Caenorhabditis elegans: one gene and its partners. The protein of the gene in region 1 purifies or fractionates together with the protein of each later gene. This does not show direct contact. Each region holds a gene or a part of one and is shown in the gene's direction. Other genes may lie near its edges.

Region 1 (5,461 bases):
AGACTCGCATCCATAATATTTCAGCTCATCTGGACATCCTTGGAGTATTGATGCTTTCGAAAAACAATCCATTCCAGTTTGAACATAGTTGCAACCCTTCAAATGGTTATTTATGCTTGAAAAAGTTTTAGGCGCGCTCTCGCCACGAACCAAAATTTTTTGGAAGGAAGGCGGCAAAAAATATATGCGCCTTTAAGGAATACAGTAACCCAGTTCTCGATGTTCAGCAAGAAAAAATTGGTTACTGTACTTATTAAAGGCACATCTCCGATTTGAAAATAATTAGTTCGTGGTGAGATCGAATAGTGTGTTGGTATCAATAAGTTCACACTTATTAGTTGAACTCTATGCTTTTCTGTGTTAACCTTTGTTTTTGATTTACAAAACAAAAGTTTTAAGAATTTTAGTTTTCTCACCTTCTTCGGATCTTCTTGAGCATTGAGCACGAAATCAGTAATACATCCGTACATTGTTGCATTCTTTCCATTGTAGATTCGCTGCATACACGACCAATTGTCAGAAGCCACTGAAAATATAAATATTTCAGAAGTGTACAATTCTTTCTGGAACTTACGATAAAAACCAGCTCCACATTGATACTGTAGCATACTCATCAAGAAACCATATGAATATGCTTGGTTTGGAGCATTTGAATGATTCAAGAGATATCCTATGTCAAAACATTCAAAAGTCGTTGTTGATGCATCGGCAAGACACTGAACCATTGAATTATATGAACTGAAGTTGAAATTTATTATGATCAGTGAAATCGAAGATTTTATAAATCCTCGCAATAATTTTGTATTTTATTTTTGTCTGATAAATCATTCACTTCTACAAACTAGAAATTCCCCGGTGTACATAAAACGCCTCTCCGTTTTTTGCTCAGGAAAAGCGCCCGATGCACTATGATGCGCAGAAAAAGAGTAAGTAGAGGCTGCTCGTAGAGCTACGGAAAAGGCGAATGAGAGACCCTCCCATCAGCCCACCCGGTTTAAAATCTTTCACTTTTTGAGCCGAACAATAAATCAAAACAAATTTTTAAAACCTGTAATTCTTTGTCTCTACCAAAATTAGCTCTCTTTGATACAATAGTCCTCTGGTAATCATCTGGAGTGTAACAACTTACAACAAAACCCTTGTTGACTTTACTTACTTGCAAACAGCATTCAATCCTCTAACACCACCAGTTCCACCATTTATGTAGATATCTTGAATTTGAAGTGTGAGACCAAGAGGGTTCAACCTAGAATCAAAAAAAAATTAAGATTAATTCGCGTTCAACTAACCAATTAAAAACTCTATCGATTCCCAATTTATCTGCAAATTTGTCCTGGCAGGCAACGAACTTTGTAGTGTCACACGAGGCGTTTGCCAATGATGTACCTCGAATTTATGGATTGTTTTGAAAATATATTTATAGACTTACCAATGGCTGTTAGGATTAATAGCTTTTTCATATTCAGTGTCATAATTTTCGTTTAGAAAGTATACCACTCCTCACAGTTCAGTAAAAATTTAATTCAATTCAACGAGATTATCAATTTTCTCGGCGTCTCTCTAAACTCTCTAGTCTCTATTAATTATTGATAAGAGTTGGCAAAGAGTAATCGGATTTATTAGTTCAACAGTTTTAGAACATAAAGGACATATATTTCTGAAATGTAAACTTTATTTTTTCGAGAGGACGCCTCAAATGGGATGAAAAATGTATAACAAATAACTTTTAAAAAATTTAACAAAATATTAGAAATTACGAGAGTTGAAATATTATTTCCGTGACCGCTAGAATCGAAAGGTCAATCGTCTATATTTAAAGGAGATTTCTGGCAGTTTAAATTTATTTCGCTGACAACGAAATTAAAATATGGAGAGCAAGAAACGTTCTAGTGATAAGGTGAGTCAAACTCTGGATTTCATTCACAATTTATGCAGTAAACTGTTCGTGAAATCCTTTTAAAAACTAACTTTTACAATTAGAGTAATTTTCCAGAAAAGCACTGAAGTTGATTCGATGAGCGACAAAGAAAGTCTTTATGTCTCTGCAAGTGATCAGCCACCAGCAGAGATTACAATCAAACTTGAGAAGGATACAAAAAGAAAGATCACAATTATCAGTGAAGTTGAGAACCCAAAACGTGCTCGACGTGGATCAGCTGATCTTCGACGTCAGGCTATTGTGAATAGTGCTATCCGAAGTGCTCAGTCTACTGCATCTTCTCGTTCCAGAAGTAGAAGCCGAAGCAGAAGCCGATCGACAATGAACCAACAAATCCGCCTTGCTCGTACTAGATCTGCAAGTGGTGGCAAGCTGAGAAGATCTAGAAGTGCTCGTCGTCGGTCTCCATCATCGTCAGCATCTCGTTCTCGATCTAGATCAACTTCACGTACTCGTGCTCAATCAATTCCAATTCGCTACAGAGATCGTCCAGAAAAGGTAACAAATTATGTATTCCTACATCCATCTAAATATTCTATTTCAGATTGAGAAACCTATTCAACCTCTTCCTCCCCTTCGCCTCCCAACACATTTGACCAAAAAAAGTTCAGTTGGATCAAAAAAACTGCCACCACCGGATTGCATTAATCTTCCATCTCCTCTTTTTATTCTCACCGAGCAACAAGTCATTGGTGCAAGTGAAAAGAAGACTGTTCAGTTTGTGACCAAAGTTCTTTTGACTTCCAAGAAGCTCTCCCTTGATGACCGTAAGCTGTTGTTTGCTGAAATGGTTGAAGCTGAGTATGTTGGAACTTCTCGTTCGTCAACAGATTTGAACAAGTCATCAGACGATGAACCAGAAGAAGAGTTTGCTACGAAGATTCACTATTCCTCCAAAGGAATTTATATTCATACAGTGCAGAATGTGAGAAAGATTCGTTCGGGTAAAACTTCGTCCATCACAGAAGAGAAGAGCTATGCAAACATTTGCAAGACGAAAATCTCGGGAGATCATGGAAAATCAACGGAAGGATTTCTGAATGTTCAATGTTCGGAAACTATTTCTGTTGTTGATCAGAAGTACATCAGATCTGAGGAATTTAAGATTGGTCTTACTGGGGTTAATGTCTCTGGGTGAGCGATTTGTCAATGGTAAACTTTATCTCATTTAAATTTTACAGAAATGTTTCGATTAACTCTTCCAAGACCACATTTGATCCAACCAAGACTATCACTTTCAGTGAGGATCTCATGTTTGACAGCAAAAACATTGGGTAAGTGACTGTTACTTTTTAATAAAAGCGTAGGAGTCTGATTAATTTATAAATGTAGTTTGAAATCAAAAACTTTCAGAATCACAATTCGTCACAGTTCTGTCGCTGAAATGAAGGAAATGTGGCATCACGAAATGGGATCATTTGGAGAAGAAACGTCAGAATACAGAGAACTCAAGTTCTTCTTCGATGAGAAAAAGAAGGATGATAACAAAACTGTTGGAAAATCAGTGGTATCTATTCTCCAAGGAACGAAACCTTCTGCACCTCCAGCATCAACCAGTTCATCTTCCAAAAATTCTTCTTCCATCAATTCTCCAAAGACTCCGAATATTTCTGGTTCTTCGCGTAGATCTCGTTCTCGTGCCAAGAGACATAAGGCTCTCCAAAAGAGGGATAGTAAAACTAACAGAACTCCAAGTCCTGATAGACAGTCATGCAAGAAGGATGCTCGTCCAGATCAGGATCCAATCAAGTTGAGTGAGATTAAGGTTTCAGAGCATGTCGACTCAACGGGGAATGAGACTTTTTATCAATCTTTCCCGAAAGCCACGTCCACTCCGAAAAGTCCAGCTTCTTCTCTCAACTCTTCAGTTCTTGAATCCAAAGTGAAGAATTCCATGCAGAAAACTCCCGACGAGGGTCCGTCTCGGCGTGGTGCAATGAGCATTAGAGAGCGATCAGTTTCAAGAAACGGTGACAATGAAATTGATTTGGATAAAAGTTTGAGCTTGAAGAAACCATCTGCATCGAAGAATTTGGCCAGTTTGTTGGAAAAGAAGGAAGAGGCAAGAAAAACTGATGTAACATCTTCCATGATCAGTTCAAAACCTCCAACTTCTCCTGGCACCTCCGTCTACATGTACAACACTGGATCAGCCAATTCGACTTTTATGTCTGCTAAAGATTTGCATAAAGAACGTGTTGCAGCTTCTACTGGTCCCAGATCTGCTTCAAAATCTCCAAAAGGAACACTTCGCGTGAAGGAAACTAAAGTCATTCGTGAAGTTCGCCAAGAAGATGGAAAGCCACCTGAGATTAGTGAGAAGAAAGAAGAAACTGTGAAAGAGGAAAAAGTGAATCTGAGTGAGAGATTGAGAGCCAGATCGAGAGCTTCATCTCCTGCAACTCCAACTTTGAAGAGAACATTCAATCAGACGGATGAGTCGAATATTGTGACTTTGAGTGCAGGTTAGTTTAATTCTTAATTTTTATATATTCAGTCAAAAATATTATAATTTTAAGTCAAAGAAACCCATCAAACTTTGGAAATGACACCAATCAAAGTGAATTCTGAAACAGTTCCTTCAACTTCTTATGGACAACGTGCTTTCCCTGAGAGTGTTCAATTGGATATGCTCATTGACAAGAAACGACTTGTGCTTAATGTTAATTTCATGCTTCTTGCTGAAAAACATCCAGAAGTTGAAATTCTTGGTTTCACATTCAAAGGACAAAAGTTGTGGGAAAAGAGCTCAGAATGGAATCTCACAAGTGCAAATACTACTAGTCATGTCAGTTTTCTGTATGTATTTTCATTTTCTGAATGTTTTGATTTTCAGACTAAAACAATTGCTCGTCAAGCCAGTAACATTTTGGGAGATGAAGAGAAAAAAGACGAGGAGCAAAAATAACTGGACTACTACTAGATACTTGAACTGAACTGATGTATTGAGCCATGAAAAAATGAATTTTTATTGAAATTGTCCATTCTGTTAGTCGAGAAATGTTTTTATAGAAAGAGCTTTCCGAATGCCTAAAATTTACAACTGTTCACTTTGCCAGGTCTGTGTCTTGAAATGGTATCCGCATTAGGCCGCAAAGGGCCCATTTTTACGCTTCACGAAAACGACCATATTCGCACGTTGTTTGTGAGCCACCCGAGTGAGATGGTGATCTAGGCACCATCAGTTCATTAAGCCATTTTCATCTAACAGTGCAGGAAGAAAGACAATTACATTTTCTCGAATTCGTTTCTCTATCTTCAAAATTTGAAAGATAAAAAAGGTAAAATTTTCAAATATAAAACTTTCGAAAAATTCATAAAGGTATCAAACATCAATAATTTCTGATTTTCAATTTGCAAATTATTTCCTCTAATTTCCATTTCATCATGCAAATTCATTCATTATAATTTCAAAAAGTGTTCCATATAAGCCGGCTGGGAATTGTCTAAACAGACTGGTTCAAAAAATGCGTCTACTTCCAGTAACTCTTCTCTTAGGAGCTGTCATCTTTGTTTCCACCA
Region 2 (4,396 bases), on another chromosome or scaffold:
AATTTTCAAAAAAATCATATAAAATCTAGAAAATTTTTTTGAATTTTTTATCATGATACGTAAATATACAACACTTATTGCTCACTTTTTTGTTTTAATTTTTTGTTTTTCATTCAATGGTATCTCATTCTTGCTTCTCATTTACAATGTTTTCACCGAGAACGTAAAATAACAGTTAAGTAACCATTGAAATCCGAGTGGAATTTGAACTTAAAACAAACAAAAAAAAAAATTGAATAGGAGTGTGCGGCTGACTGATTTTTTCGGCTTTCAGCTGGTACAGCGAGCTCTGCTAAAATTTTTACTATCCTATAAATTTTCTATCAGACGAAAATTTGTCGGTCGGCTGTCGGTTGGCTTTACCAGCAATTCCAATTTATCAACTGAGTAACTGTCATTTTTTGACAACTTTCAAACTTTTTTTGTGAAAAGTTTTACATTATTATATTCGGTCATTCTGGCACCATTCGTGTGGTTTTGAACACTTTATTAACTACAACTTTAAACATTTAAAATCGTTTTCCAATGAGTTGAAAACTCAACACTCTCCAAATTGAAACTAAAACTTTCACAGGGTGGTCCATAATTATGGCGACCACTTTGGGGCACTGTAACTTTTTTTTGGACAGCGAGCAAAAGAAGTGAATATACACATTTTATTGGTTAGAAAAAAACAAACTTAACGACATATAATACTTGATAGTTATCACCACCTACATCCGCACAGAACACAAGACACTCAAAAATCCGAATGGCCGTAGCGCACAAGTAGGCTCGATTTAGCTTATTGGTGATTTTTAAATGAGATACTTTGAGTGATTTATTATTTTGATTATATATTAAGAATACCCTTGATACAACAAAGCTTTTCACAAATAATTTTTGAGATTGGTGTCCGGTGACGGAAGTGGCATCTTGTGAAAATTGATAAAGTCAAGAAAAGCAAGCTCCCCCAAGTTTTGTGATTTTTCTTCCTTACCAACGCTCATTCATGTTGAAAATGCGAATGTGTCCAGTTTTAATTTGTCTTAGCTTAAAATGATAATTTGGTTTTCAATATTTCGATATATTCCACAGAATACAGAATGTTTGGGCAATTTTTTTTGCAACGGACTGTTTGCACTGTTATTAGAGGGCAAAAAACGACCTAAATCCGAACATAAGTTGGCTCAAAATATGTCTATCGTCTCGGATTTTGCTATTTTGAGTGTCGGAAGTCTTGATAATTATTTAAAACATAGAAACTAGTTGCTTGATCCTATGAGCGCAGCAGGAGACGTCGGGCGCTAGACCTCCTATAAAATGGAGGAAAATTATAGACTACCGATGTTGTAAGGCTCTCACTACTTTCAAAGTTGAAGCATGTTGTATGGAAATTGACGTGAACGACAGTAAATATTGTGAACTTTTTTTAAATAATCAAATTTTAAAACTTTCGTAACAGGGTAACCCCAGAAATCAAGTTCTTGCACGCGTGTAGCAGGTCGCCATAATTATGGACCACCCTGTATATTTCGAAAAATGAAAAATTACAAACCGATACTCCTCATTCAAACAAATCCAGACAAATAATCATTGTTTCTGAAAACTATTGGATCATGACCGTTCATCGTGGCCGCGGCCGAGTAAATGCGCATGTGCGCTCTATTGAACAGACCGCGGTGCGCCATCCTACATTCACAGCGGCAAGTGTTCTGGTGTCCACGCATTCTCTTCCCTTGTTTCGCAATCGATTTGCATTTGTATTTTTACAAGTATTTTTCTCCATTTTTCTCCTTTTTAATCAAAATTTTCATTTGTTTTTGGGCGATGATTCTTCATCCAATCTTCTTTGTTTTTGCTCTTTTTAAAAAGTTGTTTTTTTTTCATACTTTTGAAATACTTAATTGTATGGAATCTCATTATCTGCTCGTTTCTTAGTAACTCTAATTATTAAAATAATTCCCAGTTTACTGTTATTCAATTGTATTGTTTTTCAGACAATTCCTCAAATGTCGGCTTCTTTGCGCAAAAACGACCAAATCATTCGAGCATGCATTCTCTACGAAGCACTCGATAAGACTCGACTTTCAAAGGCCTATGAGAACTTCTGTAGGAAGGTTGGAAAGGACGCTATTCCACAAGAGGAGTTCGACTACTGGTACTATCATTTCTCCAACGTGAATGATAATTTGGACCATGATAAAAGGTAAAAATTGGTTTAAACATCAACCTAAAATTATAAATTTTTAAATCTTTCAGTCTCGATTCAAAATCGACTATGTATGCTCTCCCACTCAATATGATTCATTTCATCGTCGACAGGGTTGATTTCATTGACACGTAAGAGAGTTTTGAAAAAAAGTTGAATAAATAATAAAATATGAATTGCAGATTGGCTCTCGCAAAAGTATGCACAGGGTTCCGCGATGTCGTGAGAATCCCGGAAGTTGATCTCGAGGATTTTAACATCATTCACAATTATTCGGTTAATGGTTCGGATGAAAATAATTTTTCAAGGATCGAGTACGACGGATACAAAATCACTTACCAACCGGTAAATGGAGGATGCAAAGTTTCCTGTGTCGATCAGTATGACGACACAGAGCCGAAGTTGGAACCATCGAATAAATTCATTCAAGGAGGCGATGCCGTTCAGTTGTGCCACAATGACTTGAAATTGGTGTTGGAAAACCGAAGAGTGATACTGCAGAGTCTCATTATCGATTTCAGTATCGAGGAAAAAGATTTGTACACGAAATGCTTCACGGATATCACTAAGATGCTCAAGTCAACGAGAAGCATTGAGGTAGAAGACTTCGATGCACTTCAAGTATCGATCAGCGATTATGCCTCACTATTGGAGATCTTCCCTGCTGGAAAATTGGAATCACTCAATATCGATCCCTACACTTTCGATCGCGCGGAACTTGAAACCCTCGAGCATTGTGAGCATCTTTCAAGCATGGACCAATGGAAGATGGCTGAGAGGTTTTTTGGTAGAGGCTTCAGTTTGGATGTCCCAATTGGAAGCTTCTTCCATTTTAAATTATTCGACGTCGTGCTACGGGAGTTCACCGAAGAAGACGCTGTGAAACTTCGAGACGTGAGTTTATGTGAATATTGAAGATGATGTAGAAGGGATTGGGATTTCGCTTCAAGAAATCCAAAATTGTCTATAATTCAGAAATATTTACTAAAGAAAAAATTGAAAAAAAAAACGAGAAATGATGACAAATCCCAATTTTTGAACTTCCTCCAAAATAAGTAGACATGCCCAGTTTCCAATCAACCAACTTCTTCAGTTTTAGACTTCTTAGAAGTGCGCCACTTCACATTAAAAGGCAAAGTTCCCAGATTTGCAAAAGTCTTATTTTCAGATGATTGATGAATCTTCCGATTTCATAAGCGCTGATATCACTAGCAGAGTCATGGACCTACCAAGTGTTGCGAATGTTTTTGGACTTATCTTTGTCGCTAATGAAGAGGAAGACGAGCAAGCATTTGATTATTTCACTCCAGCCAATGCGAAGTTCACGGTTACTTTTGGAAAAAATGATGAGCCTGATGAAGACGATCCAGTTGACAAGTTCTCGATCAAAAAACGTTCCAATTCCGATTAAAATTGAATACTATCTTTACATGTAAATATTTGTATATAATTGTTTCATTTGTGAATGTAATATATTACAATGGCGATTAAAATCAAATTTTATCGTTATATGTGAATATTTGTATAGAATCATTTTGTTTGTAGATAATGTATTTAATGTCAACCTATATTGAGTATATTGTTATTTAGAGCCCCTTCCTTCCACTAACTCTAACTGAAAAATCTCACATTCCCCCGTTTAGAAGTTTTGCTCATTCTAATTTTCATTTTCCAGTGTTATATGATAAATGGTTGTGCATTGCAGTTCTCTTGGAAACAAGCAGATTTCCATTTGTCAGAAACTTCAGTTTGGAGTAAGTAATCGATATTCACTGGTGCTCAACTCGTGGTCTTCTGCCATAGTCGTAAAAGGTGCAAGGTACTATCTAATTAGAAAGGTGAACATGCACCTACAAACGGTTGTGAACAACAATAAAAAGAGCTGGTGGCATGACTTGGGAAGCCTGAAGTTCAACGCAGAAAAAACTATATAAGAATATCAAAATGTTTGACTGAATTGGCCATATTCAACAAAAAACATGAATTTTTCAGAAAAAAAGACGACAAAAATGTTCAATATTTAACTATCCAACAAAGCGGAAAGTCATACATAGTTTGGATGTAAAAATTATAATAATTGAAATCATGTTCAGACAAGATAACTGGCCAACTCGGATCATGTCTTTTTCGGTCACCCTAATATTAAAGTTAAACTTTACATGAAATTTTATCAGTTCACACAGATATACACTCGTTTCACACTTC
Region 3 (7,352 bases), on another chromosome or scaffold:
ACGCGCTTCTGGCTTCCCTCATATTTTGAAGTGGAAGATTTTGACAGGTTAGGCCATTTGAGCTCGGCCATATCTGGGGTAGATTTACGGCTCGTTGCGTGTCGCGTCGCGGCACGGTTTTCTTTGTAAAACAAAATGTATTTGCCCGTGTGGGGCACACGATTTCCCACGCGTTGTCCAGCAGGAGATTGCCAATGGAGCGCGAAAAATGCAATGAGGAAGGCAAGAAGCCCGTGAAAAACCGACTAATTTATGGCTTTTCGAGAAACGTATCAAATTGGCCTGAGAAATCTAAAATTCGGCCATAATTTTTTAAATTTATTGCATCAGAGTGGCCGAGTTTTCTTTTTCTAGGCCATATACTCCTCTCGGACAAAAAAAATCGTTTTTTTTTCGAATTTTTTGTGCTGAAACTATAGTTTTTGTATTTATTTATTGTGTATTATGTATTCAGAGTGCTCAATTTAATTTCCTGTTCAATATCGTAACAGTATACATAGAAGAGAACACAATCACAGAGAAACGATAGAAATTGTTGTTTATTTGGAGGGAAGCCATCTCCTCCTCCACCAAAGTGTTCGTTTTTTTCTTCAGGCGTTTTCTCTACGTCTCTCCATCACTTCAGTGCAATTCCGCTGTCTCTAGGCTCTACAGACAGTCTAGAAGGCTCCAGAAGAGCATGAGAGCACACTTTGGGGACGGGAGGCTTTGTTTATTCGGGTTTTGAGAGAGATAGATGAAAATGGTCACAAATCGAATAGATTTTGTTTTATGAGATTTTTTAGCCTGACTTCGGAATGTCCAATTTTTCCTTTGTTTTCTTTCTTCTTCTAGATTTTATGGAATTTCAGAGTATTTCTCTTTTTTCACCCCCCCCCCCCCCTCCCCCCCCCCCTCTGGTTCAATCCGAGTGTGCGCCGGTGTTCGAATATAACGCAGAGATCAGTACACACACACAAAGAGCCCCTCCGGTGCGCATTGAGTCTGTGATAGCGGGTTTCTCGGCGGTTTTATGTGAAAAATAGGGTGGAAAACAAGAACATTTGTCTAGTTGTGGTTTTAGAAGAAGAGAAGCTGAGGGAGAAGAAGCTGATGATTCTTGAACGTGGGAAAATGGGAGGAAGATGGAACGTTCCAGAGGGGGCTTGAGCTATGGCTAGTCGTGCATTCTTTAAGAAGAAGTATAGCCACACATTTTTTCTCCTTCTACTTGCGAGAAATCTCTTTTTTTAAAGAAAATGCAGAAAAAAAAATTCTAGCGATTAAAAATTTTGAAAAAATAGGTATAATTTTTAGGGAAATTCGTACATTTGGGCACATGAAGCAAAAAAACCCAGAACAGTTATTATGCAGAAAAATGGCAAAACAATGAAGGAAATTTTGGTGGAATGGCAACAGAGTACGGTAATACATCACAATTGAGGCGCAAAGTTTTGAAATTATTTTTTTAATCACCGAATTCGGCCAAATTCTCTCAAAAAACGTTCCGCACAGTGCGGAAAAGCGTGAAAAACTTGAGTTTTAAACTCCATAAAGATTCTTTTATAGTTTTTCCACAATTTTCTCACCAAAAATTAGGTTTTTCCTCATTTTACCACAATTAATCTCCATTTTTCACCCTTATCACATTCCCAAATCTCGAAAAATGTGATGACAACCTTTATTAATCTTTTAGATCACAAAGATGCAAAGAGATTCGTCTCAAAGATAATTTTTTTCGTCCAGTTCCTTCCGCGGTTTCTGATCACAATTGCTTGTAATTTCGTTGTTTTTTTGAAAACTTTTGAATATAATATTCGAATATTTCCAGACAGACATTTCCAATTTTCTTTTGCTGACTCAGTTTCTTTTTCTCGAATTTATTTTCAAAATTTCCTTAGAAAACTGAGTTTTTTCAGAAACGGGTCGCGAAAATTCTTCATTTACTCACCTCGCAGCAATATAAAAAGATCTACACAATGCACACTACAACTAAAAGACGAAAAGCCATGGATTGGCTCAATTTTGATCCGATTCCAGAAGTTGATCGGTAAAGTTTTAAAAAATATTTTTTGAAAACGAATTGAATTTCTGAATTTAAAATTATTTCTGCCAAGCAGCCTCTAATCAATGTTCTAAATTTCGGGTGTCGGCTGGTACAGCCAGCCAACAAATTTGGTCAAGTTTGGGAAAAATTTGCAACAATTTCTTTAAAATTATTGATTTTCATGAAAATTTTCACCAGCCGACAGCCGACGAAAATTTATCTGCAGTACTGCAGTAGACTGTCGGCTGGCGCTACCAGCTGAGAAACCCCAATGTTCGGCTGTCGGTTGGCACCGCCAACCTGCCCCTCCCCGTCTCGAACTAATTTCCCTCACGTTTCCAGATTATTCCGTTTCACATGTAAACACCCAACTCTACATGTTCATATGACAGGAAGTTATGGCCATATGTTCGTTGATATAAGTGATCTACCAGCTTCGGCTCGTCATTATCTTGCACTAATGGCTGCATCACGTCACAGATGCCTATCACTTATGGATCATCATCGTCGCAAATTTCTGGAAAAGGGTGGACAACAAATGTGGTTGTTGGGCATTGATTGGTCATACATGAAATTTCGAAAATTGGATTATTTGAATCGAATGCTCTGTCATAGACCATGGATGATTCATTGGAAAAATCTAGCGGTAATTTGAAATTTTATTGAATTTTTAGAGATTTTCAAACCTCAAAAAGTAAAAATTAGGCATTTTCCGATTTTTCAAAGCTATATATACCGTATATCTTCTATTAATATGGCCTCCCTATTAGATTTGCACTCCCTATTAGTATTGCCCCTCGGAGACCTTCCGAAAATTAGTATTGCACTCCCTATTAGTGTTGCACTCCCTAATAGTCTTGCACCTACTTTTTTTTGTTGCAAACACTCCTTACTAATTTTAAAATTTTAATAACATTTTTTGCCTATTTTGCAACAGTTTATAACAAAATTTTTAGAGATTGAAGTTATTGTACCTTTTTGTTGCAATTTCAATCAAATTTTCTATACTTCCAAATAAAATTGGAGTTTTTTCAAGTAGAATCTAGTAAGCCCCAACACAGAAAAATTTTCTGAAGAATAGTATGGCACTCCCTATTAGACTTGCACTCCCTAATAGTATTGCAAGCGGGAAGACCATCGAAAAATAGTATTGCAGCCATATTAATAGAAGAAATACGGTAGGTTATTTAGAAAAGTTATTTAGAAAACCTTGAAAAATTTCTAAAAATAAAGAATATTCAGAACTGGTTTCTGATTTTGCAAATATTGAAATCTTCAGAAAGTTCTTGGAAATCTTTTCTTTTCTGAATATTACGGGAACACCATATTCTAAGAATGCGTATTTCACAACATATTTCACGCGCAAAATATCTCGAAGCGAAAACTACCGGAATTCTTTGAATGTCTACTCGAAATGAATTAAAGTAATTTAGTTATGAATTGAATATTAAAATTAAGCAAATAATGATAAAATAATAGGAAGAAAAGAAGGAAAATGGAATATCACTGTCACTTCTCGAAAAGAAAATTATTTCAAAAACCGAACCCGTAAATCGACACAAGCGCTACAGTAGTCATTTAAAGAATAACTGTAGTTTTCGCTACGAGATGCTTTGCGCGTCAAATATGTTGCTCAATGCGCATTCTCAGAGTTTAGTTTTCCAGTAATAATTTGGTAGCGAAATTCTGAAATTTGTAATATTTTACAATCACGATAGTTGAAAAGGGATTGTAAATTATTTTAAAAAAAAATTACAAGACAAAATAAGATGCGTCTCTCTTTGCCATATGCTCTCTCGTTGCCGTGGCCTGCCAATATTTTCGCGCCAGTAAATAGGAATTCTCATGATCTCATGGTCCCGTAATAAAAAAATGTTCTTTCAAAAAAAAAACAACGTTTTTTCAAAACAAATTCTGCCAACTCCAATGCCAAGAGAACGAACGTATAACAACGATGTTAGGTTTTTCTCAAGAATTTGAAAATTTCCAGGTGCTCTTCGCTCGCCGCACGCCAGACGGTGGTCCTGCGTTTTTCTCGGTTTGCTCTCTCCACCACGCCGTCGGAATAATGTCAATGACTCACGCAATGTGCACAGTTATATGCTGTATTGGATTGGAACGTCGTGTTGATTTGACACAAGATGAGATTGATTTCCTTAATATCGATGATCTCGACTATTGGGAGGCGAGAATGTCGGCCTATTTCCGAAAAGTCCCAGATCGTCGGCCAACTGAAGTCGAATATTTGATCAGTGAGCTGAAAAAGACGGAAAAAGGACAAACTAGGCCACCAGCGAAGATGTGTGCAATGACTACTGAAACTATTGAATCATTAATTAGTGCTCCTGCAGCAACATATAGTTCCAATCGGAAAAACTACTCGCCTGTACTTCTTCTTGCAAATATCGATGAAAATGGAGAAGATATTATGGAAAAAGAGCCGCCGTGTAATTATCCAATTTACTCGCATCATCGAACATTTGGATATATTGATTTTAGAAAGCGACCTGAAAAGGATATTCCGCCATTCCGAGTTGAAGAATTTGGATGGGATCATGTTTATAATACGATGAATGAGTATACGGATACACTGACGTCACGGCTTGATCGAATGTTCGATCATATTCGGACTCTTACTGGCAATATGTTAGTGATGATTTCTCTAACAAAGTAGACCAAAAATTCGCATAAATATTATACGTGAACGCACAATTTTGAGAATACGTACTACGCAACATGTTTGAAGCGCGAAATATTTCGTGGCGGAAACTGGTCTTTAAATGACTACTGTGTCGATCGCTCGTGTCGATTTACTGGCTCGATTTTTGAAATTAAAAAAATTAATTTCTTCTTATATTCTTCTCAATTTTAGCTAAATTTTAATATTCTATCGATAAACAAATTCAATTCGTATAACGAACCCGTAAATCGACACAGTGAAAGTTGTAAGAAATCTAGTTGAATTTGGTAATTTTGTTAAAATATTCGAGATGCATGAAATTTCAAAAACAGAAAAATATAATAATTCCAAAAAATTAATTTTTCAGGCCATCCGGCTCATCCCATGCATCTGGAGACGGAGAACCACCAGCCGCCGTGAATCAGAATGAAATTGACACTGCTGCATTCCGTGAAGCAATTTGGAACTATACTCAAGGATTATATGGTGTTCGAGTCGATGATTATGATTATTCGAAAATTAATCGAGTACTTGACAAAGGAACTAAAACTTTCATTAAACTGGCAGCTTGCTATCCACATAAATTGACAACTGAATTCACGAGAGCTCTGCCAGGATTTAAGGATTCGGAAAAGGTTTAGACTCAGAAGTTGAACACTTTTTTTGAATAAAATTTCTACACAACATTGAATTTGAATATTTTTGGAGCAGAAAGGAAAAAATTCCAAAAAAAACTCGGAAAAAATCGAAAAAAAATTCCGAAAAAAACACAGTTTAAATATTATTTTTTTTGAAAAATATTTAAATTTTAAAAATCATGTGAATACTTTTTTGTATCAGAATTTTTTAATGTGGAAGTTCGGTGTAAACTTTGAAAACTGTAAAGTTCAGAAAAAAAACACAATCATCAAAACCAAAAATTAGAAAAAAAATTGTTTTTACAAATTTATTAATCGAAAAAAATCAGGAAAATAATTCAAAAACCAAATAATATTTTTCTTAATTCGGGAAAAATCGAACAATTTTTTAGCGAAAAAAATTCGTTAAATTCAAAAGAATCTAATAATTCTGAATAAAATTTTAAAAAATGCGGAAAAAAAATCAAAAAGTTGAAAAAAAGTTTTTACTGAAAGAAATTTTAAAATTCAAGAAAATCTTTAAAATTGGGTAACAAAAAAATTTGGAAATGTATACGGAAAAAATACGCTTAAAAAAATATATAAAATTTTCTACAAGCTTTTGAATTTTGATTTTTCAAAGAATTCAATTTATCTCACAATCATAACTTTTCCAGAAAATTTTCGAATCATCAAACTTTAATTTTTTCAGATCCACGTGGTAATGATGGTAGCGATGGCTCGTTTCCAGGCTTCAATGTTCCATTATACACGTGCTGTGTGTAACTATAATGCAATGTGCCTCTCGAAAAAAGGATGGAGAAAGCCTTTGGATTGATCAGCTCGCGGAGCTCGAAATACATATTTTTCTCCAATTCTTTCTCCGAATCTTACATATTTTGCCCAATTTTGTTAATATTTCCTATTCCCTCCCTTTCTACCACACATTCTCGCTAGCGTTCGTGCACACAAGTGCGCTCCACGGGCAAATAGTGTGCTGGAGCGCACATTTCCTTTCTAGAATACTTTTGTTCGAATTGTTCTGTTAAGTGAAACCAAACTCATATAATATTCAAAATTTTAAACAAAAAAATTTATAAAACTTCTTGTTGAAAATTCCAAAAAAAAACAGTTTTTGTTCAATTTTTTCGTCACAAATTTCAAAAATCGACATTTTTGAAATTGTCTACTCAATTTTTCGCTGCATTTTTTCACAAAACACTCCATCCATCACGATCCCCAGATTTTTACCGGTTTTTGCGAATTTGTACGCTTTTATGCCCAATTTAGTGTACAAATTCAAGCAGGGGTTTTCCAACTTAAAAATACTTTTTTCTAATTTTTCTTGCTGATTTCCTTCAAAATCGAGTAGTTTTTGATGGCTTTACTGACTTTTTTCCTGAAAATTTTAATTTTTTCTGCATATTATTTTTATTTTCTCGCTAAAATTCCAATTTTACAGTCCATACATGTTTTTTTTCTTTTTCACTAATTCTACACTCATATGAATAAAGCACATATTATTATAATTTTTCCCCTAATATTTGACATTCAGGAAAAAATTTAAAATTAAAAATATAAAGGATAATTTCTTTGAAACTACAGTAATCCGAGAGATTTTAAAGGCGCATATAGGATTCTGGAAAAGAATCATTTTGCGCATTTTATTTTTATTGGAAAAATCATTTTATAAAAATAATTTTAATGGGTGTTTTATAGAAAAACTATAGTATTTACGCAAAAGTATAGAAAGTAGCCTAAAAAATACAAAAATAATTATTTTTGCCTATTTTCAGCGGTTTCAAGAGTTTACCTAAATATTTGAAGCAGTTTTCCTCTAAATTTGAATATTGAACGCAAAAACACCAATATGTTCCCGAAAAAAGAAATCCAAAATAAACTACGAGAATCCGATTAATTCCTGTTTGAAAAACCGCCAATTGTACATTTGCGATAGAGTGCGCTTGCAGCAGTATAGACTCGCCCTTCCGCGGAGATTGATTCACGGTTTCAAATTTGATTCATAATA

The links. The genes of interacting proteins can lie anywhere in the genome.
Region 2: the proteins of F49C12.15 (region 1) and fbxa-170 fractionate together in Caenorhabditis elegans (co-fractionation; one large-scale study listed by BioGRID). This does not show direct contact.
Region 3: the proteins of F49C12.15 (region 1) and sesn-1 fractionate together in Caenorhabditis elegans (co-fractionation; one large-scale study listed by BioGRID). This does not show direct contact.

Annotation. Positions count from the first base shown.
Region 1 is NC_003282.8:9,322,604-9,328,064, forward strand, and holds F49C12.15 (Serine/arginine repetitive matrix protein 2-like), read left to right. Parts: upstream 1-1,852; 5' UTR 1,853-1,867; coding exon 1,868-1,897; intron 1,898-1,993; coding exon 1,994-2,437; intron 2,438-2,483; coding exon 2,484-3,073; intron 3,074-3,120; coding exon 3,121-3,213; intron 3,214-3,292; coding exon 3,293-4,404; intron 4,405-4,458; coding exon 4,459-4,727; intron 4,728-4,775; coding exon 4,776-4,847; 3' UTR 4,848-4,913; downstream 4,914-5,461. Other genes in the region: nspg-11 (DUF19 domain-containing protein), read right to left, coding at 1-96, 417-526, 575-738, 1,157-1,246, 1,290-1,386, 1,430-1,472; clec-183 (C-type lectin domain-containing protein), read left to right, coding at 5,407-5,461.
Region 2 is NC_003284.9:1,675,703-1,680,098, reverse strand, and holds fbxa-170 (F-box domain-containing protein), read left to right. Parts: upstream 1-1,977; 5' UTR 1,978-1,991; coding exon 1,992-2,188; intron 2,189-2,241; coding exon 2,242-2,322; intron 2,323-2,373; coding exon 2,374-3,085; intron 3,086-3,359; coding exon 3,360-3,602; 3' UTR 3,603-3,894; downstream 3,895-4,396.
Region 3 is NC_003279.8:27,089-34,440, reverse strand, and holds sesn-1 (Sestrin homolog), read left to right. Parts: upstream 1-1,892; 5' UTR 1,893-1,958; coding exon 1,959-2,029; intron 2,030-2,368; coding exon 2,369-2,672; intron 2,673-2,897; exon of another isoform or gene 2,898-2,918; intron 2,919-4,016; coding exon 4,017-4,672; intron 4,673-5,073; coding exon 5,074-5,341; intron 5,342-6,035; coding exon 6,036-6,161; 3' UTR 6,162-6,850; downstream 6,851-7,352. UniProt on the Caenorhabditis elegans protein: May function as a negative feedback regulator of TOR function.